Linked DNA regions of Ovis aries. The protein of the gene in region 7 interacts with the protein of the main gene of each other region in a pairwise test. Links are inferred from orthologs where the notes say so. Each region holds a gene or a part of one and is shown on either strand. Other genes may lie near its edges.

The links.
Region 1: the proteins of ATXN1 (region 7) and NLK interact in binary tests that used the Homo sapiens proteins (3 or more experiments, as listed by UniProt). The link is inferred for Ovis aries from reciprocal best matches to the Homo sapiens genes ATXN1 and NLK.
Region 2: the proteins of ATXN1 (region 7) and ZNF276 interact in binary tests that used the Homo sapiens proteins (3 or more experiments, as listed by UniProt). The link is inferred for Ovis aries from reciprocal best matches to the Homo sapiens genes ATXN1 and ZNF276.
Region 3: the proteins of ATXN1 (region 7) and EIF3F interact in binary tests that used the Homo sapiens proteins (3 or more experiments, as listed by UniProt). The link is inferred for Ovis aries from reciprocal best matches to the Homo sapiens genes ATXN1 and EIF3F.
Region 4: the proteins of ATXN1 (region 7) and REL interact in binary tests that used the Homo sapiens proteins (3 or more experiments, as listed by UniProt). The two-hybrid records come from large-scale screens. The link is inferred for Ovis aries from reciprocal best matches to the Homo sapiens genes ATXN1 and REL.
Region 5: the proteins of ATXN1 (region 7) and STAM2 interact in binary tests that used the Homo sapiens proteins (3 or more experiments, as listed by UniProt). The link is inferred for Ovis aries from reciprocal best matches to the Homo sapiens genes ATXN1 and STAM2.
Region 6: the proteins of ATXN1 (region 7) and PHPT1 interact in binary tests that used the Homo sapiens proteins (3 or more experiments, as listed by UniProt). The link is inferred for Ovis aries from reciprocal best matches to the Homo sapiens genes ATXN1 and PHPT1.

Annotation. Positions count from the first base shown.
Region 1 is NC_056064.1:19,693,813-19,698,036, forward strand, and holds part of NLK (serine/threonine-protein kinase NLK), read left to right. Parts: intron 1-814; coding exon 815-921; intron 922-2,384; coding exon 2,385-2,470; intron 2,471-4,224. UniProt on the Homo sapiens protein: Serine/threonine-protein kinase that regulates a number of transcription factors with key roles in cell fate determination. Positive effector of the non-canonical Wnt signaling pathway, acting downstream of WNT5A, MAP3K7/TAK1 and HIPK2.
Region 2 is NC_056067.1:14,142,725-14,146,948, forward strand, and holds part of ZNF276 (zinc finger protein 276), read left to right. Parts: intron 1-1,369; coding exon 1,370-1,673; intron 1,674-1,930; coding exon 1,931-1,977; intron 1,978-2,074; coding exon 2,075-2,521; intron 2,522-3,380; coding exon 3,381-3,459; intron 3,460-4,224. UniProt on the Homo sapiens protein: May be involved in transcriptional regulation.
Region 3 is NC_056068.1:44,245,612-44,250,286, forward strand, and holds the start of EIF3F (eukaryotic translation initiation factor 3 subunit F), read right to left. Parts: upstream 3,025-4,675; 5' UTR 3,008-3,024; coding exon 2,608-3,007; intron 1-2,607. UniProt on the Homo sapiens protein: Component of the eukaryotic translation initiation factor 3 (eIF-3) complex, which is required for several steps in the initiation of protein synthesis.
Region 4 is NC_056056.1:63,093,704-63,097,927, forward strand, and holds part of REL (proto-oncogene c-Rel), read right to left. Parts: intron 3,193-4,224; coding exon 3,088-3,192; intron 2,982-3,087; coding exon 2,769-2,981; intron 2,195-2,768; coding exon 2,126-2,194; intron 1,984-2,125; coding exon 1,912-1,983; intron 844-1,911; coding exon 62-843; 3' UTR 1-61. UniProt on the Homo sapiens protein: Proto-oncogene that may play a role in differentiation and lymphopoiesis.
Region 5 is NC_056055.1:157,445,075-157,449,298, reverse strand, and holds part of STAM2 (signal transducing adapter molecule 2), read right to left. Parts: intron 3,531-4,224; coding exon 3,446-3,530; intron 2,411-3,445; coding exon 2,335-2,410; intron 2,222-2,334; coding exon 2,123-2,221; intron 1,228-2,122; coding exon 1,081-1,227; intron 1-1,080.
Region 6 is NC_056056.1:1,021,316-1,025,259, reverse strand, and holds PHPT1 (14 kDa phosphohistidine phosphatase), read left to right. Parts: upstream 1-1,500; 5' UTR 1,501-1,553; coding exon 1,554-1,713; intron 1,714-2,049; coding exon 2,050-2,174; intron 2,175-2,654; coding exon 2,655-2,747; 3' UTR 2,748-2,912; downstream 2,913-3,944. UniProt on the Homo sapiens protein: Exhibits phosphohistidine phosphatase activity.
Region 7 is NC_056073.1:40,014,040-40,018,263, forward strand, and holds part of ATXN1 (ataxin-1), read left to right. Parts: intron 1-70; coding exon 71-593; coding exon of another isoform or gene 594-601; exon of another isoform or gene 602-1,868; coding exon 1,869-1,963; 3' UTR 1,964-4,224. UniProt on the Homo sapiens protein: Chromatin-binding factor that repress Notch signaling in the absence of Notch intracellular domain by acting as a CBF1 corepressor. Binds to the HEY promoter and might assist, along with NCOR2, RBPJ-mediated repression. Binds RNA in vitro.

The DNA.
Region 1 (4,224 bases), on a different chromosome or scaffold from region 7:
ACTCAAAGGCCCTCTTCTCTTGTCTGAAGAAAGCTTTTATATCATAAAACTTGCCTAAAATTTTAAGGAGTTGTTACTGAAGGCAGGGGTAAGTCACAAATCTGTCCTTTTCTAAATAAGCAAAAGACTGTGTCTTTACCAAGAGAGTTCCACATCTCCGTTATTCCCTGGGCCCTAGCCTTCGGTCATCTGCCTCATGTTAATTGTGCAAAACCCTGAGGATATACTGAGTACAAAGCACAGGAAGCTTAAAATTAAGTACGGGAGGTATACATGTATAAGAAGTTAAATAATAAAAGTTCAGTTGTGAAGACTGTAGAGACTGAGATACGAACTAACCATTGTGCGTGTCTTTCGGAGTACCATGCTTTACAAGGTAATTGAAGCCACTGTTAATGGATGGATTACACCTTTTGCTTTGGTGCCATGGTGGCCTAGCATGAGACCAGCACTCTTTCTTGTTCGGATTCAGAGGACACTCCAGGAACATGTCTGAATAGACCCTGAGACTGCTGGTCTTCACATTTCTCCTGATCTGACTGTCTTTGAAAATATTTTCCCTTATTTTTCTCTTTTATAGTGCTAATTGTAGTCACTTGATTGTTAACTTCTAACTTTTTAAAATTTTGTTTTGGCAGTGTTTTCATCTTAGGAGGGCTGGAACCTATCACCTCTCTTCCTGCTGTCCTGAACCTTTCTTTCCTTAAAGCTTTTTCCAGCCTTAAAAAGAGAAGTTATTTATTTAGAGTTGGTACCTAATTTATAGGGCTTCGGGGCTGAATTCTCTGAACTCTCCTTAACTAAAAACCTCAAGATATGTTGTCACAGAACTGATGCAGAGTGACCTGCATAAAATTATCGTCTCTCCTCAACCACTCAGCTCAGATCATGTCAAAGTTTTTCTTTATCAGATTTTGCGAGGTAAGACTTTCTCTGTGAAGAAAAAGGTAGTGTCACTGTATAAATGAAATGTTTTGCTTTTCATTTGAACTAATCTGACCTTCCAAGGCTAACTTCTTACCCACAACTGTTTTTCTTCTGACCAAAGTATATTTAATACTCTCTATACTTGATGTTAAATAAGAAGCTTTTAAGGGTAGCCGAATGGTTCTTATTTTCAGTGATGGAAGAGAAGGTCCTATCTAATTCATTAGGTAGTCAAGGGGGTTAATCTCGGGGGGTACATAAGCAGGATGTTTTGCCACAAAGCTTCCACTGAATAGCCTTTAGTAGGAGTATGTGGCTGGCATCAGATGATTAACTGAAAAGGAACTGTGTTTCCTATGGATGACATACATTCTTTAAGCCGGCAGTAGGTGGGCCTAGTCTGAGAGTTGGCAGGCATGCCTGAGTTCCACTCTAGAAAAGCAAAATGAGTTTTAAAGTCAAAGCATGGAGAAGACTGACAGAAACAGCCAGCTCACTCACCCTCATTAAGGAGCTCTGATGTGATGGAGAAACAGTTTGGGCTGACATTGTTGGGGCTTCCTCCGGCCATCTGGTGTCCTTCAGAATTTTGGCGTTACACCTGTTTAAAGCTGAAACAGTTTTCTTACCTAGTAAAATGTTTTCTCCCATAGGATTCAAAGAATTAAGACATTCCTTATAAAAATTGAAAAGCATCTGCCAAAGGAACTAAAACACATACACAGTGTCAAAACTAGAAAGTTCACCTTCTGTAGATTTGTTGATATTTGGGAGTGGGGGAGGTGGCAGAGGGAAGATACTGGATAGAGGATCTTTAACATTGTAGAAAATGTGATTTGCTTTCTTTTATTCAGAAGACTCAGCCTTTTATTCAGAAGCTGTGCCTTTTATCTAGCACTGCTAAAGCCCACAGACTTTATAAAGATATCAAAAATATTTTTAAAGTAATTAATTACCTTCCTGATTCTCAGTGGTAGAGAATACTACCAACAGACCTGGGCAAGTTTCTGAATTTTGTCTCATCAGTGAAAATCTGTCCTGGAAAAGGCTTGCTGTTGGTTAATGGGAACTATTTTGTGGCAGCAGCTCACAATAAGCTTGAGAGTATCCAGAATATCCAGAGCTCCAGGAGCCACACTTAGAAACTGTTCAAGGTTATTGGTCTGGTCAGCCTTAACTCCAGGGCTTGGAATGCTTATCTATACTTAAACCTAAATAATCTTTCAAATTATAGACATTATCTCTAGACTGTGCAAACCTTTGATGACATTTTATTTTACTGTAGCGAAATTACAGTTTTTTGAGGTAGGACTAAGTCAAGCTTTTAATAATGTTCATTATGCAGTTATTTAGAGAACAATTTAAAATCCTTTACTCTTGTTTCTATGGTTTTCCCCAAAATCATTGGTTGAGTAAAGGAATTAAATATCTGCAGTTAAATCTGTTTGTTATTTCAGGTTTGAAATATCTCCATTCAGCTGGCATTTTACATCGAGACATTAAGCCAGGGAATCTCCTTGTGAACAGCAACTGTGTTCTAAAGGTAGCTTTTCATTTTATTTAAACATCTAGGAAACAAGTGGAATGTCAGAGTGTGTTTAAGAACACATTTTTGTGAAAGAAATGGTTAAATGTATTCTCATCACTTTACCAGAAATAAAAGAACCCAGTGTTCTCCACCAATATCACTAGTCATGGACAAAACAGTAACTTAATTTGTAGTTTTGGCTCATGGTTTCTTCATGATATTTTGCACATATTTTGGAAACATTGGAATCGGAATTGCAGTGTGACTAGAAAGAAGACTAGAGAAGGTGATTTCTTTTCAGCTTGTTCCATTACAGAGAAAGTATATATCAGAAAAAAGATTGGAAGACCAGTAAGCATCTACTTACATGACAATCAAGTGTGGCTTTTAAGAAGACTGTATGTTTTTGCACAGCTGATGTTTTTATGTGCTGTTTGCCTGAGGCAGCAAAGTAGGGAAATAGAAGCATTTAAAAGTGAAAATACTAAGCCAGAAAAGGGTCAAAGGTACTTCCACAGTATGTAGTGGCCAATCCTCAGTTACCCCTCTGAAGGGGTATTGATTTCAGGGTTTATTATGGTTAGCAGCCCCCATATCTCAAGACATCAATTTCAGTTTTACTCTCGCCGCAGTACCACCCCCATAGTCTTTTCTTAGAGTGCCTCACAAATAGCAAAATCCACATGTGTGCATTGCCCTCTCCCTAACAGAAATCTTTTAACAGACCTCCTAAATAGTGAAGGGCCCACCATCTTTCCCCATTATAGAAATTAGAGGTAAGGGCCTTCCTAGAGCTGAGTCATCTCTGTGAAGGCAAATTAAAATTCCACTTATTTTATGAGCGGCTGCAGTATTATATGGTGCTTCAGTCTACAGTAAATATTCTTAACATTTCAATTGATATATTTGAAAAAGAAAAGAACTGTTTATAAACGTTGCCTACTATAAATGTAATCAACTGTCATTAGTACTTATCCTGTTGGCAGTTAAACTAAACCTTAAAACCAAGTATATAAATGAATTTCATTTTTTATTTTAAATGCTTTCTTTAAACTGTGGGCCAGTTTTCTTTAAAACTAGTGTGTTAAACTGCTTTTGAATAAAAAAGAAAAAACTCCCTTCACTCTATATGTAAAGAACTCTGATCCTGTTTTAAGTCTAGAAAGATTAAAAACACCTATTTTTCATATTTTCCTTGAAAACATCTAATATTATACTTAATTCTTTTTGTTTCCACAGATAATTAATTGTCCCAAAAACCATTAAGTAAAAACTACCAAAGTAAATTTTCCTTTTATAGGTCATTGAGTTCACTGCTTTTCACTGTGAGACTTCCCTGGTGGTCCAGTGGCTAAGACTGAACTTTCAGTGCAGGGGGCCCAGGTTCAATCTGTAGTCAGGAAACTAGATTCCATTTGCCACAGCTAAGACCGACTACAGCCCAATAAATTAATTAAAAAATAAATAAATAAAAAGAGTTGTGATCAGGCTTCCCGGGTGGCTCAGTGGTAAAGAATCCACCTGCCAATGCAGAAGACACGGGTTTGATCCCTGCTCTGGGAAGATCCCACGTGCGATGGAGCAACTCAGACCGTATGCCACAACTGTTGAGCCTATACTCTAGAGCCCCGGAGCCACAACTTCTGAGCCCATGTGCCGCAACTGCTAAACCCCACACACCCTAGAGCCCGTGCTCTGCAACAAGAGAAACCAACGTAATGAAACCCATGCACCACAGCTAGAGAGTAGCCCCTGGTCACCTCAACTAG
Region 2 (4,224 bases), on a different chromosome or scaffold from region 7:
TGTGTTAATTATTGTAGCTTTGTAGTATAGTTTGAAATCAGGAAGCATGATGCCTTCAACTTAGTGGTTCTTTCACAGAATTGCTTTGGCTGTTCAGGGTCTTTATTGGTTTCATATACATTTTAAGATTGTTCTATTTTTGTGAAAAATACCAATGAGATTTTGATAGGGGTTGTTTTGAATTTGTAGATGACTTTGGGGAGTGTAGACATTTTAACAGTGTCTTGTTAATTAATGTCAATTGTCTTATTATTTGATGTCAATTAATTATTCCAACCCATGGTCATGGACTACTTATTTGTGGTTTCAGTTTTTTTTGTCAGTGTCTTACAGGTGTCAGTGTACAGGTCTTTCATCTCTTTGGTTATATTTATTCATAGGTATTTTTTTTGATACTATTGTAAATCTGATTATTTTCTTAATTTCTAATAGTTTGTTATTAGTATGTGGAAATCAACTTATGTTTGTATATTGATTTTGTATTCTATAACTGAATTTGCTTATTCTAACAGTTTTTCTCATGGAGTCTTACAGAATTTTCTATATGTAATATTAATACACAAACAGATGGTGTTGCTTCTGTCTGTATGATTTGAGTGGTTTTTATTTTTCTTGCCTAATTGCTTTGGTCAGAATGTCCAGTACTGTGTTGAATAAAAATGGTGAGAGTGGGAATCCTTGTTTTGTTCCTGATCTTAGAAGAAAGCTTTTAGCTCTTTACCATTGAGTATGATGTTAGCTTGGGGCTTGTCATGTATGGCTCTTATTATGTGGTGGTATTTTCTATCTGTATACAGTTTATTGAGGTTTTTATCATGAATGGATATTGAATTTTGTCCACTACTTTTTCTCCATTTATTGAGAGGAGTATGATTTTTATTTTGTTAATGTGTGTCACATGAATTGATTTGGGAAGGCTGAGCCATCCTTGCCTCCCTGGAATACTTTGCAGCTGATCATTGTGCAGGATCTTTTAAATTAAGTGTTGAGTTCAGTTTGCTGTTATTTTGTTGAAGGCTTGTACATCTATGTTTATTAAAAATAAATATTATTTTATTTTATTGTTGTGTCCTTGTCTGGTTTTAGTATTAGAGCAATACTGGCTTGTTTTGGAGGCATTTAGAGTTCTTTGAAAGGATTTTCCACTCAGAAGACCCTCCACTGGCCATTCTCCCAAAAGACTATATGTTCATCTGGGAGCCTGGATCCAGAGCCCTGCCTCTGGCCCAGACCTGGACTTGTATTTAAGGGGCATGTCTGGGGAGGTCCCACTCCAGGAGCTGGGGCGGGGGCTGGTGGAGTGTGGATCTCACCTCACCTGGGAGCTGTGTTCTGCATGCCTGACTTCCTGTTTCCTGTGCTTGCCCAGGAACAGCCCGGGCCCTGGCCATGGGGCACTGTCGCCTTTGTCATGGGAAGTTCTCCTCCCGGAGTCTCCGCAGCATCTCTGGCAGGGCACCTGGGGAGAGCTCAGAAAGGCCACCCCCTGGGGACCGTGTTTTCATCCGGGATTTCCAGCGCCTCCTGGGCGTGGCTGTCCACCAGGACCCAGCTCTGTCCCAGTTTGTCTGCAAGAACTGCCATGCCCAGTTCTACCAGTGCCACGGCCTCCTCACATCTTTCCTGCAGCGAGTCAATGTTCCCCCGACAGGCCGCCGGAAGCCTTGTGCAAAGTAGGTGCCCCTTCCCTCCTTTGCTGGGGGTGTGCAGGAGACCCCGTGAACAGGGCTGCATGGGCACAGGGCAGCCCGGGCGCTGGTGAGGCAGACACTCATGAGCACCAGTGCGCTGGGTGTGTGGGGAGACTGACTGGAGAGCACAGGGCGGGGAGGGCCTGGTGGGTGGCCTCGGAGGAAAAGGCTCAGCCGGCACACACAGTGGCCACTGGGCCCCATGCTTGCTCTTGGTGAGCAGCCCTGCTCCTTTGCAGGGTCGGTGTCCAGCCACGGATGGGGCCGGAGGAGGGAGCGTGTGTGGGTGAGTGCGCCCCCAGGGTGGGGTGCAGGGTGGGCGGGAAGCGGGGGGACTCAGATGCTGACTGGCCATGGGCTGGCGTCTCTCTGCCTCTCCTCAGTGGACCTGATTGCTTCGAGCCCCCAGGGCCTGCGTGGCTTGGTGGGGTGGGTGCACAGACACGCGGCCAGCTGTGGGGCCCTACCTAGCCTCCAGAGGACGCTGTCCTCCGAGTACTGTGGTGTCATCCGGGCCATGTGGGGCTGCGACCAGGGCCATGACTACACCATGGACGCCGACTCCAGCTGTGGGGCCCTCTTGCTGGACAGCGCTTTGGGTGTCAAGTGGACGTGGGACAAGGATTCAGGCCCGCGACTCCCCCAGCATCGGGGGTTCAACCCCACCGGGGCTGCCCCTCAGAGCTCCCAAGGCAGAGCAGCTGCGGCGGGGGCTGAAACCGAGACACTCCCCAGCCTCGAAACAAGCCGGCTTCCTTCAGATGGTGACCCAGTGGGGCCGGGGCCGGGCCCCCCGTCTCAGCCAAGCCTCCCCCAAGGTGGGGCCCCAGGTAGGTGGCTCCTCTGGGCTACTTGACCAGTATTCCTGGTCCTGAGCCAGGCAGGGCCCTTGGCAGGAAGTGGCTGTTGTGGTGGTAGCAGTGGTATGCGCAGAGGGGCCAGCATAGTGGCCAGGGCAGTCCTGGCACCGCCTCATGTGCGTCTGACAGCAGAGAGGGGCTGAAGACCCCGTTTGAGTGCCTTCCTTTAAGGCATGCTCGCCTGCCATCCAGGCTTCCTCCAAGCCTGCTTGGGGCCAGGGCACGGAGGGAGGAAGAGCCCGGGCCTTTGTGGGGCACGAAGGCAGCTGGGGTCAGGGGTTGTCCCGAGCCAATACAGGTCACTCCCTGGGCCTGTCAGTGCCCTGTGGGGCCTGATCCTGTGGCCCTGTGTGTTGGGTGCAGCTGTTCACCAACGTGGTATTAGGAGGGCTGGGCCGGCTCCCTACCCACGTCTCTCAGCTTCCATGTGGGTGCCAGGCTGCTCCTGCGAGTGATGTTTGCCACTGGATGGTTCAGAGTGAGGCAGTGCTCATGCTGGAGGGCTTCACTGTTCTTAGAACTGCTTGGAGTTTTGAGCCATGTGCCTGCAGTACTTGGATACCAATGATCTTTTTTGATGTTCTGAAACATCCGAGAGCAACTGGATCTGAACCTCTGAGGCAGGGCTGAATTTGCTGCTGTTGCTACTGCTGGCAGGACTTGGGGGTGGCGTGGTGGGCTTGGCTATGCAGGCCTTGTTGAGGGGGCCAGGAGGTGAGTGGATTTGGAGGCATGGGAACCCTAGGCGCCCTGTCATGCCTGTGGGGAGCACTACCGTGCAGTTCCCCTGGGGTGACAGGTGACTGGAGTCTTGTTCTTTGTTTCCCAGGGCAATTGGGTGAGAAGCAGGTTCCATCTCCAACCTCGGATGATCGGGTAAAAGACGAGTTCAGTGACCTTTCTGAGGGGTGAGAGAAGAGTGGGTTTACATAGCCTAACATTCCTCCTTGGCCACCATCCCAGGGGCTGCGGCCTGGCTCTCACTGGCCTCCCACTTTCTCTGTTGGGAGGAGGGGAGTGGTAGGGGGTGCTTAACAGGCTTCTGTTTTTGATTGGGGCACTTCAGACCTGATAGAGCTGCACGGGGGCCCAGCCACGTGTGGCCATCACTCTGTTCAGATGGTCCTCTGGCTGCTGGCTCATCTCGGCCTCCAAGGCTGAGTTTTATGCCAACCCCAGATTTTACTAGAACAGAAGCCAGCCTCTGGCTGTTTATCATGGTGTTTGTGTTGTGGAGTGGAGGACAGACCTTCTAGAGGCAGGCAGGACACCTGTCTGCTCCTGGGGACACCCCCTTCCCGGTCTCCAAGACCAAATCTCTCAGGGTGGAGGCTGCACACCAGCTGACCTTTCCACCCTGCCTTGTACACTGTGGCTAGACCACAGATGCACTTTGTCCAAACAAGTAGAACGACAGCGTGATTTTTGGTGCCAGTGACAGATGACCCAGGTGTTGGAGGAGAACCAGTGGGTGCCAGAAATCCACCCCCCACCCTGGGTCAGGAGGCTGTGGCTATCCTGCAGCCACCAGCCATCCTTGGGCCTTTCTCCGTGGGGAGGGTGGCAGCCTGTAGGGGCAGCTGAGGCATGCCAGCCAGGCTGTGTGCGGACTAGCAGAGCTTACGTCGTGACTCACGTTTTGGGGTAGAGATTATAGACGTGCAGATCTTTTT
Region 3 (4,675 bases), on a different chromosome or scaffold from region 7:
AATGGAATATGTCTCATGAATCGCTTTCTAACTTAAAATTTCTAAGGTTCTCAGCAAGTGGAATCTGTGCGTCACTCTTCAGTAAGCACTGCCTCTGTAACATCTAGCATTGTACCACGGTTCCATTCTGGAAGAGGAGCTGAAACCCTAGATGACAGCTGGTCTAACTCCGGTCACTGTAATATTTGGGGGCACCTAATACAAACCTATTTCTGCTTTACTGACTATGCCAAAACCTTTGAGTGTCTGGATCACAATAAATTGTGGAAAATTCTGAAAGAGATGGGAATACCAGACCACCTGACCTGCCTCTTGAGAAACCTACATGCAGGTCAGGAAGCAACAGTTCGAACTGGACATGGAACAGCAGCCTTTTCCAAATAGGAAAAGGAGTACGTCAAGGCTGTATATTGTCACCCTGCTTATTTAACTTCTATGCAGAGTACATCATGAGAAATGCTGGGCTGGAAGAAGCACAAGCTGGAATCACGACTGCCGGGAGAACTATCAATAACCTCAGATATGCAGGTGACACCACCCTCATGGCAGAAAGTGAAGAGGAACTAAAAAGCCTCTTGATGAAAGTGAAGGAGCAGAGTGAAAAAGTTGGCTTAAAGCTCAACATTCAGAAAACGAAGATCATGGCATCCAGTCCCATCACTTCATGGGAAATAGATGGGAAAACAGTGGAAACAGTGTCAGACTTTATTTTTGGGGGCTCCAAAATCACTGTAGATGGTGATTGCAGCCATGAAATTGAAAGATGCTTACTCCTTGGAAGAAAAGTTATGACCAACCTAGATAGTATGTTCAAAAGGAGAGACATTACTTTGCCGACTAAGTTCCATCTAGTCAAGGCTATGGTTTTTCCAGTGGTTATGTATGGATGTGAGAGTTGGACTGTGAAGAAGGCTGAGCGCCAAAGAATTGATGCTTTTGAATTGTGGTGTTGGAGAAGACTCTTGAGAGTCCCTTGGACTGCAAGGAGATCCAACCAGTCCATTCTGAAGGAGATCAGTCCTGGGTGTTCACTGGAAGGACTGATGCTAAAGCTGAACTCCAGTACTTTGGCCACCTCATGCGAAGAGTTGACTCACTGGAAAAGACCCTGATGCTGGGAGGGATTGGGGGCAGGAGGAGAAGGGGACGAACGAGGAAGAGATGGCTGGATGGCATCACCGACTTGATGGGCATGAGACTGAGTAAACTCCGGGATTTGGTGATGGACAGGGAGGCCTGGCGTGCTGCGATTCATGGGGTCGCAAAGAGTCGGACACGACTGAACTGAACTGAATACAAACCTAGGGTGGAGAATTGAGAATTGTTTCTTACCATAGAGTCCATGGGGTCGCAAAGAGTCCGACAGGACTGAGTGACTAACACTTTCACACTTTGGGAGATTATGAGTAGAGGTGAGGGTGGGGGTATGGGATGAAGGACAGAGTGAAAACTTTTCCTGGGAACCTGGAAAATGAGTGGAGCTTAAAGGAAAAAATAAGGGAGAACAAGCAAAGAGAATACAAAGGCTTGGTTTGAGATAGCTATGGCAATGTTCGTAAGATAACGGATCAACTGAAGTTTCCGTGAAATGCTACTCTCTCAAAGATAAGAGAGAGAATGTGTGTGTCAGGAGTGTGCATGATGCGGTGGACGACAGCAACCGACAGCTGCTTCATACCTAGTCTGTGTCAGCACAGTTAGATGTCTTCAGCAAGTCCCTGAAGGAAAGAGACTTCCCTAACTTTTGCAGAAGTCTGGCTACAACTACCGTCCTCTTCTCAATACACCAACTGTCTTCTACAATGGAAACTATTACAAGTTCAAGGGTTAAGAAAGAGAAATCATAAATGGGACTAAACTGGAATCACAAAAGTGCCCCGTATCTGTGATCAAGATGGAGTGAAAAATTAATCTGATGGGACCCGACGTCCCCAGATAAAAGAATACATCGTCAGAAATCCCTTTTTAGGGCTTCTCGGTTTTACTCTAACATAAAGTACCCATTTCTCAAATTTGGAACATGTCAGGGAAAAAAGTTATTTCTCCATGTAATCGTTAATACAAAGAATAGATTTGTATTGTATTAATTGTGTCCAAACGAAGAATCACAGTCTACAGTGGGGGAACGGGGGTCTATATTTCACTGGTGACTAGTATTACAGAGAGCGAGGAAAGGCGGATCAGGCTTAGACGTTTAAGAAAGCAGAATATTGAAATTCAAATGGGTTCCTGCCAAACTGGTTTACTTGCTGCGAGGGATATCTTTCTACAGATGTCCCCACTCCATTGCCAACTAGTTAGAAAAAACTTCTCGGTTAACACTCGGAAAATAAAGACCAGTAGTAGGTAAGGGGGGAAAACTTGGTCACTGGGTTTAAGGAGTCAAAAGGTTTTTGACGTCCCAGTAAGGTTGTGAACACATTTTCCGTCGATTGGGACTAATAACCGTTGAAGTGAAATGCTACTGCAAAGATTAAAAATAAAATGTGAGTCACTTGGCACACGATACTTTTTCAACAAATAACTACAAGGGAGTGAGAAGAAAGGGGGACAAGATAAAACAAGGTGGGCAGTAGAGGAGAACGTCAGTTTCCCCTGACCACTCACCCAGCAGGGTCCCGATAACTCGGGCAGCTCCCTCGTTGCGTCGCTCGTAGCTGTCCACGATGGAGGCCAAAATGACCGGGTGCAGCCGGACCACGCGGCCGCCGGGGAAGGGGCCTGGGAGAGCAGGGCCAGAGAGAGACTGTGCGGGGGTCTGCGCTGGGGCTGGCGCTGAGGCCGGGGTCTGGCCCGGAGCCGCGGTCGTAGCCGCTGCTGCTGCCGGGTCTGAGGATGACGCGGGAGCCGGCGATGGAGCTGGAGCCGGAGCCGGCGATGGAGCCGGGGCCGAGGCTGAGGCTGGGGCTGGGGCCGGGGCCGAGGCCGAGGCCGGAGATGAGGCCGCAGCTGGGGCTTCGGACGGGGTGGCGGGAGGCGCGCTCGCCGGTACTGCCGGTGTGGCCATCTTGTCGAGAGAGAAGGAGCGAGGAGCGGAAGGGAGCGAGTTGGAGAACATTAGGAGCACCATAGGCTGAACCTGCACCACGTGAACTAGGTGCTTCTGCTTACTGGCTACTGATGATGCTTCTCAGAGCTACAATTTCCGGCTCTGTGTTTGTGCTCTTTGATTTTGGTCCGATGCGCACTCAGTGAGAATCAAGCTAAGTAGTTCCGAGTAAACTTGCGACCGCCCTGGGAGGAGAGAGACACTGCCACCAGATGGAGCCATAGAGCGGTGCAAAGGTCGCAGCTGGCACTTCAATGGGATAATTGGCATCAAGGAAAGAGCTTTGTTCTTGACTGCATCCTAAGGTGTCCATACAGTGTGTCATTCATTAAACAATTTGAATATGTGCCAGACACTTTTAGGAGCTATCAGAGAGCAAAATAAAGACCATTGTCCTTGAAACTTTACGTTCTAGTAGAGAGAGACAAGTACTTTTACACGACTGAAGCGACTTAGCAGCAGCAGCAACAAATGTGTTAGTGAAGAGGGAAAGATAAAATTTTACATAAACTCCTGCTGGTTCTGCCTCTGTAACTCTAGGTCATGTAGCCTCAGAAAGTGAGGACTTAGAATACTAGGAACTGGAGCTTATCTCACGCACCCTTGTCCTGCTCTTTGTGATTGCCCAGCCCCTGCAATCCTGCTTAATCACGCGCGTCCAAGTAAAGGTCAGCCATTCATCTCCCCGTTTTGACCCCTGTTCCTGTGCCTGTGAAACGCCTTAGTTTAAATCAGCCTGTTGGCAGCTAGTGCTGTCCACTATAGTCTGTCTATAAAAACTCTGTAACTCCTTTGTTCGGGGCTCAGAGCTTGGAGTGTTAACTCCTCTGGGCCTGCTGGCTTAACAAACCTGAGTTCTCCAACTCTCCGAGTATGGTGTTTGGTTTCTCGATTACTGGTTTCTGCAACACTACGTGTGGAAGGAGCTCTGATCCTCACTCCTTGCGTAACTTTGGGCAATCTAGAGGGTTTTTATTTTAAGTTCCTGAGCCTCAGTTTCCTTTATTGCGTGAGGGGTATGATAACATCTGCCTATGAGGAAACTTGTCAATTCCTTTAGTTGGATGTGCCAGGTTCCAGCCGGCAAGGTGAGTGGGTGAGGTTGGACTTCTTAGCCCGGAACTCATGCCCAAGAACTACTTTCTCCTTGGATCTACCTTTTTTGATTAGAATTCCCTCGATCGTGCTCCTCTGTCGGTATTCTGGGTACATTGTTTCTTTCCCCTTGAGAAATGGAGTATTTCCTGACATATCACTAAACAAAGGAAGTCACCCATTAGCGATTAGCCACCACAGATGGTGAGCTGATGAGCTTGAGGGAATTTAGGAAGGAAAGAATACCTGCCATTTAGCAGCCTAAGACTATAGCCATGCCCCATTGTGAGCCCGGAGGAAATTCAGGATGTGAAAACACAGAATATTGGCCCCAGATAGGTGGATGCATATTAAAGGAACGATTTCAGTGAGCCTGGACTCTTGCATCTTCCCATACAAATAAAAGTGCTAAATTCCTTGAGATAGCTGGTTTTCTTTAATTAACAATAATCTTTTGACATCCAGACTTACCAGCCCTTTGTTACAAAACTCTGTAACCTGGCCCCCTGCCTGGCCTCCTTGGAGCAGCTA
Region 4 (4,224 bases), on a different chromosome or scaffold from region 7:
TAAAGGTAGCATCAAAATAGTTACCTTTAAAGGATTTAATTCTTAAATCACCATTTATATCTTACAAGTTAACTTGAAAAAATTCAAATGGAAATGAATCACTCAATTGTTCATTTTGCATAGCTCCAATACCTGAATACTGACTATTTTGACCAAAACTATGACTGTTTGCATTAGTACCATTTGATGGTCCTGCCTCATTTATCATACTGTTATCTGCACAATTAAAGTCAGATCCCTCAAATGCCTCTGACTGTGCAATAAAAGCAGTAGTACTAGAGCTGGTGACTGTTGACATACTGGAAGAAGACATCTGATGGAGCTGTCTCAAGTCTCTTGGGTCTAACACTGAATTACAGGAAGGATTTTCAAGATTCATGCTCACAAGTCTGGGATTATCGGTCTCCCTCATGCTGTCATTACTGGGTGTTATCATGTTCACAGGGCAGTTAGGCAGCATGCTGGCATCAGAAATACCATATAAGTCAGCTGGTGATACAGATGATGCTTCCATTCTACCTATGTCATTAGCATTGTTATAAATGCAAGCATTAGAAGCATTCAGATCACTCATTTCCAGGAATGGTGGGATAACTTGTGAATTAGAGGAAAGTGTCCCTGTTGAAAAACCACTCAGTGAATTTGTATTGACTGAGCGTGAGGTGGGGTGGGCGATTGATGACCAGCCTGAAGAAGACTGAGTACCCATTGGTAGTATGGCTGAAGCAGGATGTGACAATGTACTTGAGATGGACGCAGAGGAGGAATAGTAGGATTCTGCTTGACTTGAAACAGGCCTGGTAGTTTCTGGCAAAACTGCACCATGAGAAAACAAGTTTGGTTCTGTGGGGAAGGAAATGTAGTTTTAAAAAACTGAAATGAACAAAATTCTAAATTAAAATTATGTAAACACTCATAAAAAAATTTTCAAGGAAATCAATGTAACACTTCAAATAAAAATGTTAAATAGGAGATAATTATTAGATAAGTCCAAAACTGAATTCCATAATACTGTTTTACAAATGCCTATAAAATAATTTGGTAAGTTATTTTGGCATAGAAAATTTCATTTCAGTTAAATGTGGAAATCTAGCTTCTGAGGCCTTATAAAGGTATTTTTGAAATGTGAAAGATAAATGTCAGAATTTCACTTAATGGGCCTCTAAATATTCAAAATCATTTCATATTCTCTTCTTCCAGGAGAAAATGGAGGGATGGAGGAAACATTAAGGATGATTGAGAAATCTACATAAATTTCTAAGCCATATTATGATATAACTCACACTAATGTTCTATAAAATTTTCAGAAAAAAATGCAGTAGTATATTTAATTACATATTATATGACTGCTGTACATATTAAACCAAGAAAAAGCATTGATTTAAGAACATAAAAAGAAAAAAAAAGACTTCTAATTAACCCTGGATAATGATCTAAAGCAGAAATTGGCAACTTTTTTTCCATAAAAAGCCAGATAGTAAATATTTTAGGTTTCATGCATCATGCAGCCTCTATTGGAACTTCTTAACTCTGCAGCTATAATAGTACAAGAAAAGAACCATAAACAACATGCAATCAAATGAGCTGTGTTCTAGTAAAACTTTATAAATAAATATAGGTAATTGACCAGGTCTAAACCACTTCTTTCATGACACGCTGTAATTAGTACAATTACCATCATAGGAATGAAATGTAATTTCTCAAACAATAAATCCCCAAACATAATCACAGTTGCTAACAGGACTTTCAGAAGCTGAGATCAATTCATTAAATATTCATAGCATGAAAAAAATATGTAGGAATGGAATAAATCAAAGACTCAGTTTTCATTACTAAGAATAGAATTCTAGTATATTGTGCAAAACACTGGTCTCTCTGATCACAAGGAATACGGTATCGGGCATAAAATACCTTTTTTGATGAATCTTCCTTCTCCAGTAGGTCCTAGGGGACTAGGTCTAGGTCTTTCAGGAAAATTAACTCCTGTGATAAATTTTTTCCATTATTAAATATAATTTGAAAAACAACAGTATACCAGTTAAAATTTGAAAAACTGAATAAAGAAAAAAAAGAAAAACCCCAAACCAAATTTACTTAAATACCAATCAAACCAAAATATTCTTACCACAATCCTGCCACAGTTTCTGGAAAAGCAGAGTTGTTTTTTGTTTCTTTGCTTTATTTCCATACGTGTCTGGTTAGAAAGAAATCGGGAAAATGTGTGAATATCAATGAGTATGCTTCCTCTCCTTTAACACATATATAGATGTTTTATTCCTACATAGAAAATGCTTTAAATAAATGTACATAACATGGATTTCTATGTGTCACAAAGTATGTCCCAAATCAGTAATAAAGGGCATTTTTCTCTTAGTAAAAAATAGTTTATAATATTCATCTTGTTTTATTATAACATCTACAGGTTAACCAATGGTCAATTAATGGGCTAAGGGCAGATTAGGACCAAGATGGAGACCACTTTCTGAGTGGCAAGTTTGCCATCTATCAAGAAGGTACAATAAGGACCAAAACAGAATCTCAAATATAAAACAACTTCTGATAAACAGGTTAGATATGTTGAAATTATCCCAGATACCTTTCCTAAGAAAGAGATTCAAAGAGCACAAAGATGAATCAAAAATCAATAAAAAACTTTAAGGAAAAGAAAATTGTGAATACATAACATGACTATATTCTAATATATCTTACAAAACAATGTTCTTAGCAGGACTAAGAAACACATAAACCATTAACACAAAAGGTCATACCCTTTTCATCTGGCAGGTATCTAAAGTCCATAGATTCACTAACTTCCTGATCGGAAGGTCGCCGCAGCTGCATCTTCACTGTTACGGGTTCTGTTATAGCTTTGCAGTATGGCGGAGTCTTGAAAACAATGGCTACTTGACGGTGTACGTCAGCTTGTGAAAAGACACCTTTTGCTTCCCACTCATTCAACACAAACCGAACTTCTATGTCGTCTAGTGATTACAAAAACAAATAATTCAAACACAAAGTAAAATGTACCAATCACTTTAAAATATATTCTGAATTCAATGAAACAAACAAACAAAACCCAAAAAATACCTTTCTGAACTTTGTCACAGAGTAGAAATATTTCATCTCCTCCTTTGACACTTCCACAGTTCTTATTTACACGACAAATCCTTAATTCTGCAGTATTAGGAGCACCTAAATACAAAGGATTTTTTTTAATGGGTTGCTACCTTAGTAATTGAGTTAGACAAGGTTGTGGTCCATTTGATCAGACTGGTTAGTTTTCTGTGATTGTGGTTTTCAGTCTGTCTGCCCTCTGATGGAGAAGGATAAGAGGCTTATGGAAGCTTCCTGATGGGAGAGACTGACTGAGGGAGAAACTGGGTCTGTTCTGATGGGTGGGGCCATGCTCAGTAAATCTCCAATCCAATTTTCTGTTGATGGGTGGGGCTGTGTTCCCTCTCTGTTATTCACTTGGGGCCAAACTATGGTGGAGGCAATGAAGATAATGGCGACCTCCTTCAAAAGGTCTGATGAACGCATTGCTACACCCAGTGCCCCCAACCCTGCAGCATGCCACCGCCAACCCACAGCTTCGCCAGAGACTTCTGGACACTCAGGGGCAAGTCTGGGTCAGTCTCTTGTGGGGTTACTGTTCCTTTCTCCTGGGTCCTGGTGTGCGCAAGTTTCTGTTTGTGCCCTCAAGATTGTTTCCCCAGTCCTGTGTAAGTTCTGGCGGCTCCATGGTGGGGTTAATGGTGAGCTCCTCCAAGAGGGTTTATGCCATACCCAGGTATGCTGCACCCACAGCCTTGTCTAACTCAATAAAACAAAAGACACACCGTATAGGGCCACCCAAGATGGATGGGTCATGGTGGAGAGTTCTGACAAAACATGGTCCACTGGAGAAGGGAATAGCAAACCACTTCAGTATTCTTGCCTTGAGAACCCCATGAACAATATGAAAAGGCAAAAGATAGGACACTGAAAGATGAACTCTCCAGGTGGGCAGGAGCCCAAAATGCTACTGGAGATCAGTAGAGAAATAACTCCAGAAAGAATGAAGAGACGGAGTCACAGCAAAAACAACACCCAGCTGTGGATGTGACCAGTGATGGAAGTAAAGTCCGATGCTGTAAAGAGCAATAATGCATAGGAACCTGGAATGTTAGGTCCGTGAATCAAGGCAAATTGGAAGTTGTCAAACAGGAGATGCCAAGAGTGAAC
Region 5 (4,224 bases), on a different chromosome or scaffold from region 7:
ATGTCAATGCTACTCTCTCAATTTGCACCACCCTGTGTTTCCCCACCGTGCCCACAAGTCCATTCTCCATGCTTGCAACTCTCTTCCTGGCTTCACATACGTTCATCAGTACCATTTCTCTTGATTGCATTTATATGTGCTAATATATGATACTTGTTTTTCTCTTTCTGATTTATTTCACTCTCTCTAACAGGTTCCAGTTCATCCACCTCACTACATTCTACTTTGAACCCACAGATCTGATCAACTAAAAAGGTTCTGTTTGTGTCTTCAGTCTATGGTCTAAAATTGAAAAAATGTACAGTTCTCTTAGTTTCTTTCCCTAGCCCATATCCTGAAAAAACAAGAGACACTGAGAGCAGAACCCAAGATACAGTGTTTTTCCCCACAGACCAAAATACACCACGGACTCTGGGATCATTATCCCTGCCTCCACCCCGGTCCTGCAAAAGCTGTCCCTATGTCCTCAAATAAACTTCTAGCCTTACAGGCCAACCTGTAAAAGGCCAACCATTTTATACATAAACAAAAGCACATTTCAGGCATGTTCCCTCTTCAACGGACAGGCCTCGAGCTTTCTCAAGTCCATGAAGTGATTCATGTCATTCCTCCGTTGACAACCTCTCTACTCCTCTTACATACTGAATTGCATTCCAGCCTAAAAATTCTACTCTTCATCTTCTTCATCATCCCAGTCTACAGTTACCTCTTCTTCCTGGCATCTAACTTTTGCACCCCCCATCCATCTTTGTCACTTATAATCAGTTATTTTTCACATATATAAAGCTACCCTTTCAATTGACTATAAATACCTCGAACATAAGGGCTCTCTCACACATCTATGCCTTTTGCATGACTCTAGATTCAGAGTCGCATTAAACAGATTATTTATGGATGACTCACTTCTCAAAGTTCTCATGTGTAGAATTCACTCAACAATTACAGGCACTGCTCTAGACAAACTCATGTAGAGTGGAGGTGAGTAATGACTAAGATAGACCTTGCCAGCTTTGAAATAAGGTATATACCTTCAAAATACTATAGTATAGGGTCATCCATGAATCTGAATGAATCTCTTACCTGAGAACCTAATGGAGGAAAAGTAACTCCTTCTTCTTTCATAGATTTAATAGTTGCAGATATCAGACTAAACTGAGGGTCCTTCTGAAATTCTTCTGACCATTCTACCATTAAAGATTTCAGTTTTTCACATACTTTAGGATGAGCCTTTTAATGAAAAGGCAAAGAAAAAAAATGGTTAAAATAAGCACTTGAATTATTTAACAAAGAGAATTACCACCAAAATTCTCTAGTTTTATGAATATCCACAAGAGTCCAGCAAACCTTAGTTTAGATGAGCACTCGATAAATACCTACTTTAATATATACTTGTCTCTTGGAAAATTACCCGTTTTGAACATTAATGTTTATATCTTATACAATGACAATGAATCTGTCATATTCAGAGATTATTTCATGTTTTCCTAATATTCTCAATATTAGATTAAACTTTTTATATCAACTAAAGTAAAACTCTGAGATTTTTGTCACTAACAGTATGAACACAGTATACCAGAGTTTCTATTACAAATAAATCAATAACAACCCCATCACAAAGACCCTCTCCACCTTGTTCTAAAATAAAGGCCTCCTTTGCTCACCATCTCTACTGGGAATCAGGACAGAATGATGGTTAGTTTGGATGCTGGTATCACAGACACTTACATCTGAACTTCAGCTATGCCACTTATTAGCTGCATAATCTTAGACAAGTTACTCTTAAGTCTCAGTTTCTCCATCTATAAAATAGGAATGACCTGGAAATCTACCTTCTAGGAGTTGTTAAGAGCATTAAACAAGTCAGCATACATAAAATGCTTAAAGCAGTGGCTGCTAACCCTCAATAAAGATCAGTGTTATCACTTATATATATGCTTTAGGGAGGAAAACAGTTTTTGGGGCTACAAATGCAAACAACAAATTTTAGAACAGAAAGTTTGTTTTGTTTCAAGTTTATCTAAAATGATTTCACTTACAACTCTACTAATGCTATAACACAGCTAAAATAACACAGCATATGTATTTTTTAATGACTCAAATTTCTTTCCTTTTTAAAATTTACCTTATTTTTTATCACAGCACGTACTTCTGTTGCAAAATCACGGGAACAAACTTCTAAATGAAATATCTTTCCACAGTTTGCCACACAAGCCCCAAGAAGCTATTAATTAAAATAAAAATCAATATACAAATGTTGAGATGTAATCTTACTTAACTTACTAAAACAAACACATTTTAAAATTTGGGCCAAATAATAACATGACTTTCACTTACAGTTAATGCCTGCAGAGCAACATGAGGAACTTTATGATTTACCCTTTTCATTATGGCTTTTAGGCAGTCTTTTGCTCTAAAAAAATGAAGAAAGTTAGGTATTCAGAATTTCAATTCAAGCATTAAATACATAAGGTATTCTATGATCAACTAACTTTAAAAGCTGTTTGGTCATACAATACCTTATATGTACACCTGCAAACTTTACTTCATTAAAGGAATAAATCTATCAAATGATCTTACACCTTTTGCTCATAGACTTGTAGAGGGGAAAAAAATGCTTGTTGCAAAGGCTGTGTATCCCAAAAACCAAAAATCAAAAAGGTCAGTCAACACAAGAGAACAATATCATAAAAATTATCTTTACATTTAAGACTGACAGCTTTCAGACAGCAAATTCTTATCTTGTGGGGAAAAAAACTAGCAAGATACATAATCTCAAATGATTTAAGTATAACCATGCATGAATAAACTTCAGAAAGCTGTAACATTAAAACAAATGCTTTCATCAGTCTTCTAAACCTCTACTGTATAATCAGTTTAATGTCCCCATTCCATCCTCAAAGCACTATTATATTCACTTTTTCATCATGATTTATTGCATTTATCTATTCATTACTGAAAGATCTTTTGAATATATTATATATTGTTATATTTATCTACCTCATTAATAACATGTCTAAGTCACAGGGGAACACCCTAAATAATTAAGTCTATTCATTGTTAACATCTGTCCCTATTGAATCAAGGCATTATATATATATATATATTTTTTTTTTTTTTTTTTTTTGAGCTGTACCTTGAGGCTTCTGGGATCTTAGTTCCCCAACCAGGGATTGAACCTGGACCCCCAGCAGTGAAAGCACAGTGTCCTAAGCACTGGACCACTAGGGAATTCCCTGTATCAAGGCTTTAATTATACATTTTAATATTTCAAGTTTTCAGTTATGGTTCTTTCAGAATAAGATTAACCACAGAAATTCAGCCAGTAGCATGTCTTTACTTTTACTCCCAAAAGGAAACAGCAAAAATCCTGTTTCCTTCCAGAATTATATCAGGAAAAGAGAGAGAGAGCTCCTAGACATTCACTGGGCATGACTGGCCATCTTACCCATTAGGAGTGCTTCCAACTTTGTCACATATGTCCATAATAAGACTCCAATCTTCTGTAGTATTGTACTCATTTGTAGCCTTTTCTATAAGAGATAAACATACAAAAGAATCAGGATGTCTTACATAATAATAAATCCAGGAAAGACATAAAAGTATCATGAGAAAAGAAACCAGTTACACACAAGGAAACTCCTATAAGACCATTAGCTGATATTTTGGCAGAAACTCTGCAGACCAGAAGAATATGGCATAATATTTTCAAAGTGATGAAAGGAGAAAAACCTACAAACAAGAATACTACAACCCACCTGAAAAAAAACAAAAACAAACACTCTACCCAGCAAAGATATTACTCAGATTTGAAGGAGACAGAGTTTCATAAACAAGCAAAAGCTAAAAGAGTTTAGCATCATTAATATGTGAACCGTGAACTTCCAGATGTTCAAGCTGGTTTTAGAAAAGGCAGAGGAACCAGAGATCAAATTGCCAACATGTGCTGGATCATTGAAAAAGCAAGACAGTACCAGAAAAACATCTATTTCTGCTTTATTGACTCTGCCAAAGCCTTTGTGTGGATCACAAGCAACTGTGGAAAATTCTGAGAGAGATGGGAATACCAAACCACCTGACCTGCCTCTTGAGAAATCTGTATACAGGTCAGGAAGCAACAGTTAGAACTGGACAAGGAAGAAAAGACTGGTTCCAAACAGGAAAAGCAGTACATCAAGGCTGTATATTGTCACCCGGCTTATTTAACTTCTATGCAGAGTACATCGT
Region 6 (3,944 bases), on a different chromosome or scaffold from region 7:
AGGACCGAGGAGGAGGTTCGTCCCGTCTGGAGCAGGGGCGGGAGCGAGCTACTTCCACAGGGCGGCGTGAAGGGCGCAACTGCGCAAACACCCGCGCTCTAGCTCGCTCTGGCCCCGCCTTGTGGTGCGGGCTGGACGCTGGAGGCTGGAGTGCACGGTCCAGTCCGTTATCTCCGCTCTCGTCGGGGGCTGCCCGCTGGCCCTGGCCTTAGAGGGCGAGGCCCGGCGCCCAGAAGGGCCCTCCTGAAGCCCCAGGCCCCCGTCAGGGCCAGGTGGTAGGAGGTATCGAGTCAATTAAATTGTGGGGCCCCACCTCCCACCTCCGATCGCTGCCCTCACCCCCGCCCGCGCACCCGCACCCGCACCCATCTCCTCTCGTTCCTTCTCCACCTGCCTGCGCGCCTGCCTCGGCTCCGCGCATTCGCACCGGCCACGCGCCCCGCTTAGCCCCTCCCGCCTTCTCGGCCTCACAAACTGGCCTCGGCGCCCCCTGCCCAGGGGCCTCCGCCTTCGGCCCTACGCGCCGCCCAGGAAGGACCCTGGACTGGGGTTACTTCCAGAGGGGGAGCGCTTTCGAACTAAGGAAAATATAACTCGAATGTAGCCACTGCTGCCTCGTTTTTTGTTCAGAGTGGGTGCGACGTTGAAGATTTTCGGAGCCATGGGGGGCAGGCCTTCGGAAACAGCGGTGGGAAACCACTGAACAACGTGGAGTGGGAGGCCGGAGAGAGGCGGGCTCGGACTCGGTGGGGACGGGGCCGGGAGACCGCGGGACTCGGTGCGGACGAGGAGCCGGGAGACCGCGGGACTCGGCGGGGACGGGGCCGGGAGGCCGCGGGACTCGGCGGGGACGGGGCCGGGAGGCCGCGGGACTCGGCGGGGACGGGGCCGGGAGGCCGCGGGACTCGGCGGGGACGGGGCCGGGAGGCCGCGGGACTCGGCGGGGACGGGGCCGGGAGACCGTGGGACTCGGTGCGGACGAGGGGACGGGAGGCCGCGGGACTCGGCGGGGACGGGGCCGGGAGACCGTGGGACTCGGTGCGGACGAGGGGACGGGAGGCCGCGGGACTCGGCGGGGACGGGGCCGGGAGGCCGCGGGACAGCATGGGGAGTACCCGGGCGGGAGGCCCTCAGATACACTGCGGGGACCCGGGCGGAAGCCGAGGGCAGCGCGCATGGTCTGCGGAGGGAGTCAGGGCCAGCGCGCGCCCCCTGCGCCTCGTGGGCCGCCCAGTCCCCCAGAGGGGCCCGTCAGCCGCCCCTGACCCGCGCGCAGGGACTTCTCCGTGGGCTGAAAGGAACCCACACCCACTCCCCACTCCTTGTTCCCCTTTAAGGGGAGCTGGCGCGGTCACCGCGCTGCAAGAAGCTGGGCCGCGATTGGTTCGTCTGTGCCGCCGGTCGGCCGCACGGTTGGCTGAGGCGCTGGGCCCGGGCAGCATGCCCCCGCGGGATTGGCCAGCGGCCTCCAGGCCCCGCCCCTCCGCGGTCCGCGCAGCCAGGGGTCGCGTGGGGCAGGGCCGCGGGCCGTAGGGCGAGCGCGCTCCGGGAACATGGCGGCGGCGGGCCTCGCCCAGATCCCCGACGTGGACATCGACTCCGACGGCGTCTTCAAGTATGTGCTGATTCGAGTCTATGCGGCGCCACCCTCCGGGGACCCGGCCGGGGAGACCAAAGAGATCGTGCGCGGCTACAAGTGGGCCGAGTACCACGGTGAGGGCGGGGCGGCGGGCCGGGGGCGGGGCCTCGGGCGCTGTGGGCGGGGCCAGCGCGGCTGGAGCGGGTCGAGGGCGGGGCGGGGGTAGGTAGACTCTGTGCCGGGTCTCCTCGCCGCCCGGCTTGCGAGGCAGGGAGGCATCCAGACTGTCCTGGAGACGAGGGGCTGCCGTGGCCCGACCCCCACTCCTAGTCCAGGGCTTCTGCCCAGGCGCACCCTCTCCTCCCTTTTCTCCGGTCCAGAAGGTCTCCTCTCCTGGGGGCGGGGGCTGCGGGGGGAGGGCCTCAGACCCCCTCCGCCCTGGCTGGTGCTGAGCTCCCCTCCCATTCCAGCCGACATCTACGACAAGGTATCGGGCGAGATACAGAAGAAGGGCTACGACTGCGAGTGCCTGGGGGGCGGGCGCATTTCCCACCAGAGCCAGGACAGGAAGATCCACGTGTACGGCTACTCCATGGTGAGCCCGCAGCTGGGGACCCCAGTCCTGGCTGAGGAACACCCGGCCCTTCTCGCCGACATAACCCTGCCTCCAGGGACCGCAGCATCCCAGTTTCCACGCGGCATGACCCAGGAAACATAGGGGGAGGGAGGGAGCCACTGCTTGCCCGCAGTGGGCTGTGTGCTGTTCCTGCCCCGAAGGCCTGGCCAGGCCCCTGTCCTCCAGCGCTTGGAGGCTGCCAGCGCTGTGTTGGAGCTTGGATGCCTGCCTCTCCCTTCACCGCTCTACCTGCAGGGTCACAGGGCACCCAGAGCCAGCTCGACCTCTAGCTGGAGGGCCCTCCCTCCAGGTCGGCTCACTCTGGAGGCTACACTTCCCAGGAGAGTGGCTTGAGTGGCTAGGGGGATGACAGCCTCCCCGCCTGGCTCTTGGTGTCCCTGCTGCCTGGGGGCCCCCGGAGCCAGGACCTGGTGTGTGAGAGCCACCTCCTTCCCTCAGGGTTACGGTCGCGCCCAGCACTCTGTCTCCACTGAGAAGATTAAAGCCAAGTATCCGGACTACGAAGTCACGTGGGCTGACGACGGCTACTGAGGCCCACTCGAGGCCCGCTCTGTCCAGCAGCCCACTCAGAACTCTGCCCTGAAGGCCCCTCCCAAGGGGCCGGACTGCACCCCCTTTGCCACCCTGGCCAGGTCTCGGGGCCTGGGGCTCCCTCTTGGGAGAATTAAAAGCATCGTCAGCTCTGCTGCTCCCTGAGCGCTGTGTGCTTGGCGTCTCTGTTCTCAGCGCACCTCGCTGTACTTCCAGCTGGTGTAGGTGGGTGGCCAAGAGCTGGAGGCTGCCCCTCATGCAACCTGCCCCAGGGGCCCAGGGAGGGGCAGGGCACACTCAGCCCTTTGGGGTCTGATAAGGGGGCCCTGGCCGCTGCCCCCGTTTATGACCTGATTGCTTCTCCATGCACCTGCTGTCCCCACAGTCATCTGGGAAGAGGCCTGACAAGCCGTTACGCAAGGAGCTAGGGCCAAGTCCCTCCAGCCTGCGGAGGCGGGCCCCTCCCGGTAGGGGGAGGGCACCAGCAACCCCTACCTTGGCCGCTGCTGACTGAGGTCTCGAGTCGGGTGGTCTGTGGCCCCTCGACTCCAGAATCAGGGCCACTGCCTCAGACTCCTGCTTCAAGTAAACCGGGTGTCAGGCGTGGAGCCCCTCTCCCAGGACCCTTCTCCTGGCGCTGTGGGGAGCAGAGGCCTCCATCACGCTGCACCCGCCTCCTCTGGACTCCAGGGCCCTCACAGGAGCCTTTCCACAGAGGCGCCATCGTTACACTTTTAAAGATGAGGAAACAGGCTCAGGTTAGACAAGCTCTCAAGGCCGGACGGTGATAAACTTGGCAGCGCCTGGTACCAGGTCCTCCGCTGAGGTCAGTGCCATGAGGCCCAGAGCCCCTCGGCTCCTCTGGACCCTGTGCCTGGCCGTGCCCAGCCCACACCACACGGTTCGGACACTTGTTGACAAGAAAACAGTCATCGTTTTTAAGCGAGCAAGTGAAGAGGAGCCCACAGGCTGAGTTACGGAGAGGGACGACATCCCTGGTTGCCAGGGTTGCCCCCTCCCCGTGCAGGGAACTCAAGCCAGGTGCACGGTTTGCACAAGCTGAGTTCCTGCCCGGCTGAGTTGAACTCTGCGGGACCAGGGGCCCCAGGAGGAGTAGCTGAGGCCTGTGCCACTCGGCGCTGTCTCCAGCGGGGCCTCCACCAGACGGCTGGGCCGCAGTGGGCACCACGGCTGAGG
Region 7 (4,224 bases):
ATAAAACAAGGATAAAACATCTTCATCTTTTCCTTCTTTCCCTTCTCCCTGTGTCTCCCTGTTCCCACAGGTCAGCGTGGAAGTTTTGGTAGAGTATCCTTTTTTTGTGTTTGGACAGGGCTGGTCATCCTGTTGCCCAGAGAGGACCAGCCAGCTCTTTGATTTGCCATGCTCCAAACTCTCCGTTGGGGACGTCTGTATCTCGCTCACCCTCAAGAACCTGAAGAACGGCTCTGTTAAAAAGGGCCAGCCCGTGGATCCAGCCAGTGTCCTGCTGAAGCACTCAAAGACCGACGGCCTCGCTGGCAGTAGACACAGGTATGCCGAGCAGGAAAACGGGATCAGTCAGGGAAGCGCCCAGATGCTCTCTGAGAATGGCGAACTGAAGTTTCCCGAAAAAATAGGATTGCCGGCCGCGCCCTTGCTCACCAAAATAGAACCCAGCAAGCCCGCGGCCACGAGGAAGAGGAGGTGGTCAGCGCCCGAGACCCGCAAACTGGAGAAGTCGGAAGACGAGCCACCTTTGACTCTTCCCAAGCCTTCTCTCATTTCTCAGGAGGTTAAGATTTGCATCGAAGGCCGCTCTAACGTAGGCAAGTAGAAGCTGTGTGGGGAAGGGAAAGCTGGCCCTCCTTTATCATTTGTATCCAGATTACAGATGTACTGTAGGTTAAATAACTCAGTATTTCCATGTTATCCTCTTACTTTAGGGTTCTGTTATAACCTTGTCATTAGAGTTACAGCTGGCGTTGGGCAGGCGACCGGTGCATATGCTTTTTCCGGGCGTGTTTCTCGGCAGGTGGGGTGCCAGGGTAGGTCCAGCCCAGGCTCCAGGCAGGTGGTGGGCATCCTGGTTGAGATGAAGGTGGCCCCATGGCACCCGCCTTTTCTGGCATCGTGGATGCATCCACGGGGGCACTGACTTCCACTGGCTTCAGAGGGATGATCTCGGGAAGGGAGCTGCGTCAGGGGGGTGTGCCTGTGTGCCAGGGAGGGTGCCTGGGTGACACTTCTGTAAGGGTGTCTTTCTCTCTGCCTCCCTCTCTCTTGCTCTCAGCACCAGATTGGAGGTCTGGGGGAATGTCCTCAGGAGGTTCCCCCCGTGCAGAGTCAGCACTGGGGCCTCCGAAAGAGGTACCAGACAGCAGATGGAAAGCTAACCGTGTAAAAGAACATTTCCCCCCCCCCCCAACTTATTTTACAATAAAAGCAACTTTTAATCATAGAGATAAATATATATATATATATATATATTTCCCCCTATGGGGCCTGACTGCACTGATATTTTTTTAAAGAGCAACTGCCACCCATGGGATTTCGTTTCTGCTTTACTAGTGCAGTAGTGATGCCTCCAGGGCGTCATGGTGGGCAGGCGGCCCCTGCTGGCATCGCTCTGCACTGGTTGGGGGGGGGGGCGCTGGGCAGCGGGGGTGGGGGAAAGTGAACACCCCCTCCGGTCTCTGTGCAGTGTTAGGAAAACCAATCAGGTTAATTGCATTGACTTCGCTCCCAAGAGATAAGACACAAACTGCCCTTCAAAAGAGCTGCAGAAGCTCTTTGCTTTGGGTTTGCAAATCTTTTGTCTTTTAACTCTAGTACTGTTTATAGTTCATGACAATGGACAACTCGGGTGCCACTTTTTTCAGATTCCAGTGTGATGTGAGGAAATAAGATTTTGAAGATAAGCATATATATTACTATCTCTTAAGTACTTAAAATGCCGTTCACACTTTATTACCAAGCATCTTGGTCTCTCATTCAACAAGTACTGTATCTCACTTTAAACTCTTTGGGAAGAAAAACAGAAAAGAAAAAAAAAAAACTAAGTTGCTTTCTTTTTTTTTTTTAACACTGTAACTACATTTCAGCTCTGCAGAGTTTCTCACGGAGCAAGATGCTGAAAGTTTCAAAGTGGTTTCAAGGGATGAATGTGAATTATGAACTTGTATGTGACAATGAATGACCACCAAGTACAGCCTGACAGGAGGCACTCTTCACTTTGATGTCTCAGAAAGGAGTAAAAAGCGTATGCAGAGCTGGCAGAGGAACTGAGAGGGAAGGGATGGGAAAAAAAAAAAAAAAAGAATACTCACTTTTGTCCAGTGTTTTTCTTTTTAAGATGAACTTTTAAAGAACCTTGCGATTTGCACATCTTGAGTTTATAAATTTGTGTGATATTCCTGCAGTTTTTCTCAAATAACATTGTGGGAAAGGCTTGGGGGACTGAACGAGCATAAATAAATGTAGCAAAATTACTTTCTAACCTGCCTAAACTCTAGGCCTTTTATAAGGTTATGTTCCTTTCAAGATTCATTTTTGGTCTTCTTACCGTATCTGTCACATAAAACCAGGTCTTAGCAGGACAACTCTGAGAATTTTCTTCAGATTCATTGAGAGAGTTTTCCATGAAGACATTTATATATGTGAGCAAGTTTGTTTTTTTTTTTAAGAAAACAATTATTGTTGTTGTTATTAATGTTATTTTCAAAATGACTTTCTTTTTCCATCTGAAATCAAGATCTAATGTTTGGTACAAACCCAGAAAGGGTCTTTCACAGTGGAGACCTTTTATCCCCAGAGATCTGAAAAATTGTTTGTGGGGTTTGAGTGTGCGTTTTAAGTGCTTAAAAGTTTTATAAGGAGAGAGAAATTTTTAAATATTCTTACTTGGAATGGCTGCAGAGAATCTGAACAAATACCTGATTTTTCTTTTACCATTGAAAATAGTACTTTTTCCATTTCACAGATTTAAAAAAAAATTCTTGTCAGCCCACATTCTGGCTTTCCAGTATTCCTTCACATTTAGCTCTCAGCAGAACTGACGATTTTTAGAAACCATTTCTGGGGTGTACCAAAACCATTGGAGTAGGTTTTGAACTGCTAGAGCCAGTCCTTGACTTTCCTCGGTGTTCATTACCCTCTCAGCATGCTAGCAGAGAGCTGGGTGAGTCCATTTTTGCAGTCATATTGCTTACTTAGTGCTGTATTTTTTTAAATGTCTCTGTTCAGAGAACTTGCTTAATCTTCCATATATTCTGCTCAGGGCACTTGCAATTATTAGGTTTTGTTTTTCTTTTTTTGTTTTGACGGTAAGAGGAATACGGGGCTGCCATACAGACTTTGTCCTCATCAGTACCACTAAGGACAGTGATTCACGCGGACTCAGAGAAACACCCACCACCTTTTGGCTTCTTTTGAGTATTGAACTAACCGGATCCACACCTCCAACACTAAAACAGGAAAACATGCGTGGTTTGGAGCAATAGGAACATCATCGTTGTTTTTCGTGCTTTTGTTTCAGGTATAGGAATTATCAAAGAATCGGTTCTTTCTAAACATTGTCCTGTTTCACCTTCTTGCTTCTTTAGTGTGTGCAATACTTTCCGTGCCAATAGAGTCTGATCAGTGTGCTCTAGACAAAGTGTAGGTAGGCCCCTCTTGGCTTTTTCCTTATTCTCTCCATCCTTTTTCTGTGCCGCCCAAAGAAGGGCTGGAAGGAAGGAGCCAGGAAGGGGAGAGCCTCCTGCTGGGCGATTGCCCTGCTCGGGGAAGCCGAGGCCCCAGGGCAGGGAGCTTCTGGGGGAGCCCCGCGTTTCTGTCGCCCTGTTGCAGAAAAGAGCAAACAAAGCAGATCTTCCCCTCCTCAGCGCGAGGAATAGTGGCGTGCAGACGGGAAGCAGGCAGACTCACTTCTAAGGCGCACTCTTGAGCCATCGAGCCAGGATCAGCCCCTGTTCCACGGTCCTTTCCTCGAGTAGGTGGGCCCCCACCCACTCAGGTCTGTGTCCTGGAGACTTGGAGCCGTGCATCCTCCAAGCGTGGGCAGGAAGTGTGGTCCACCGCGTGCGCGCCTTCCGAGCCTCGGGCGCAGGCGGCTGCGGAGGGCCCGGGCCTCCTGCGAACAATGGCCACCGCCCCTCTGCGGCAGCTCTCGCCTCCAAATAGGAAGGCCATCCGGAGAACAGGGGCCCTCCTCCTGTTGGCACATGTGGGCGAGCGCCGAGGCCCCCAGAGCAGCCCGGTCACCGCGCCCGCGTAGCCCACCTAACAGTGCCGCGCAGCTTGTGAGGAGTAGCCATGTGCCTCTGTACCGGGTCCACTTTGCAATACTTACCTAACCCATCTTTTGTTCTCCTTACCTGTTTTCCATTTTTAAACTAGTAACAGCAGGCCTTTTGCGTTTACAGTGGAACACAATCACCAAGAAATTAGGGCGAAAAGAAA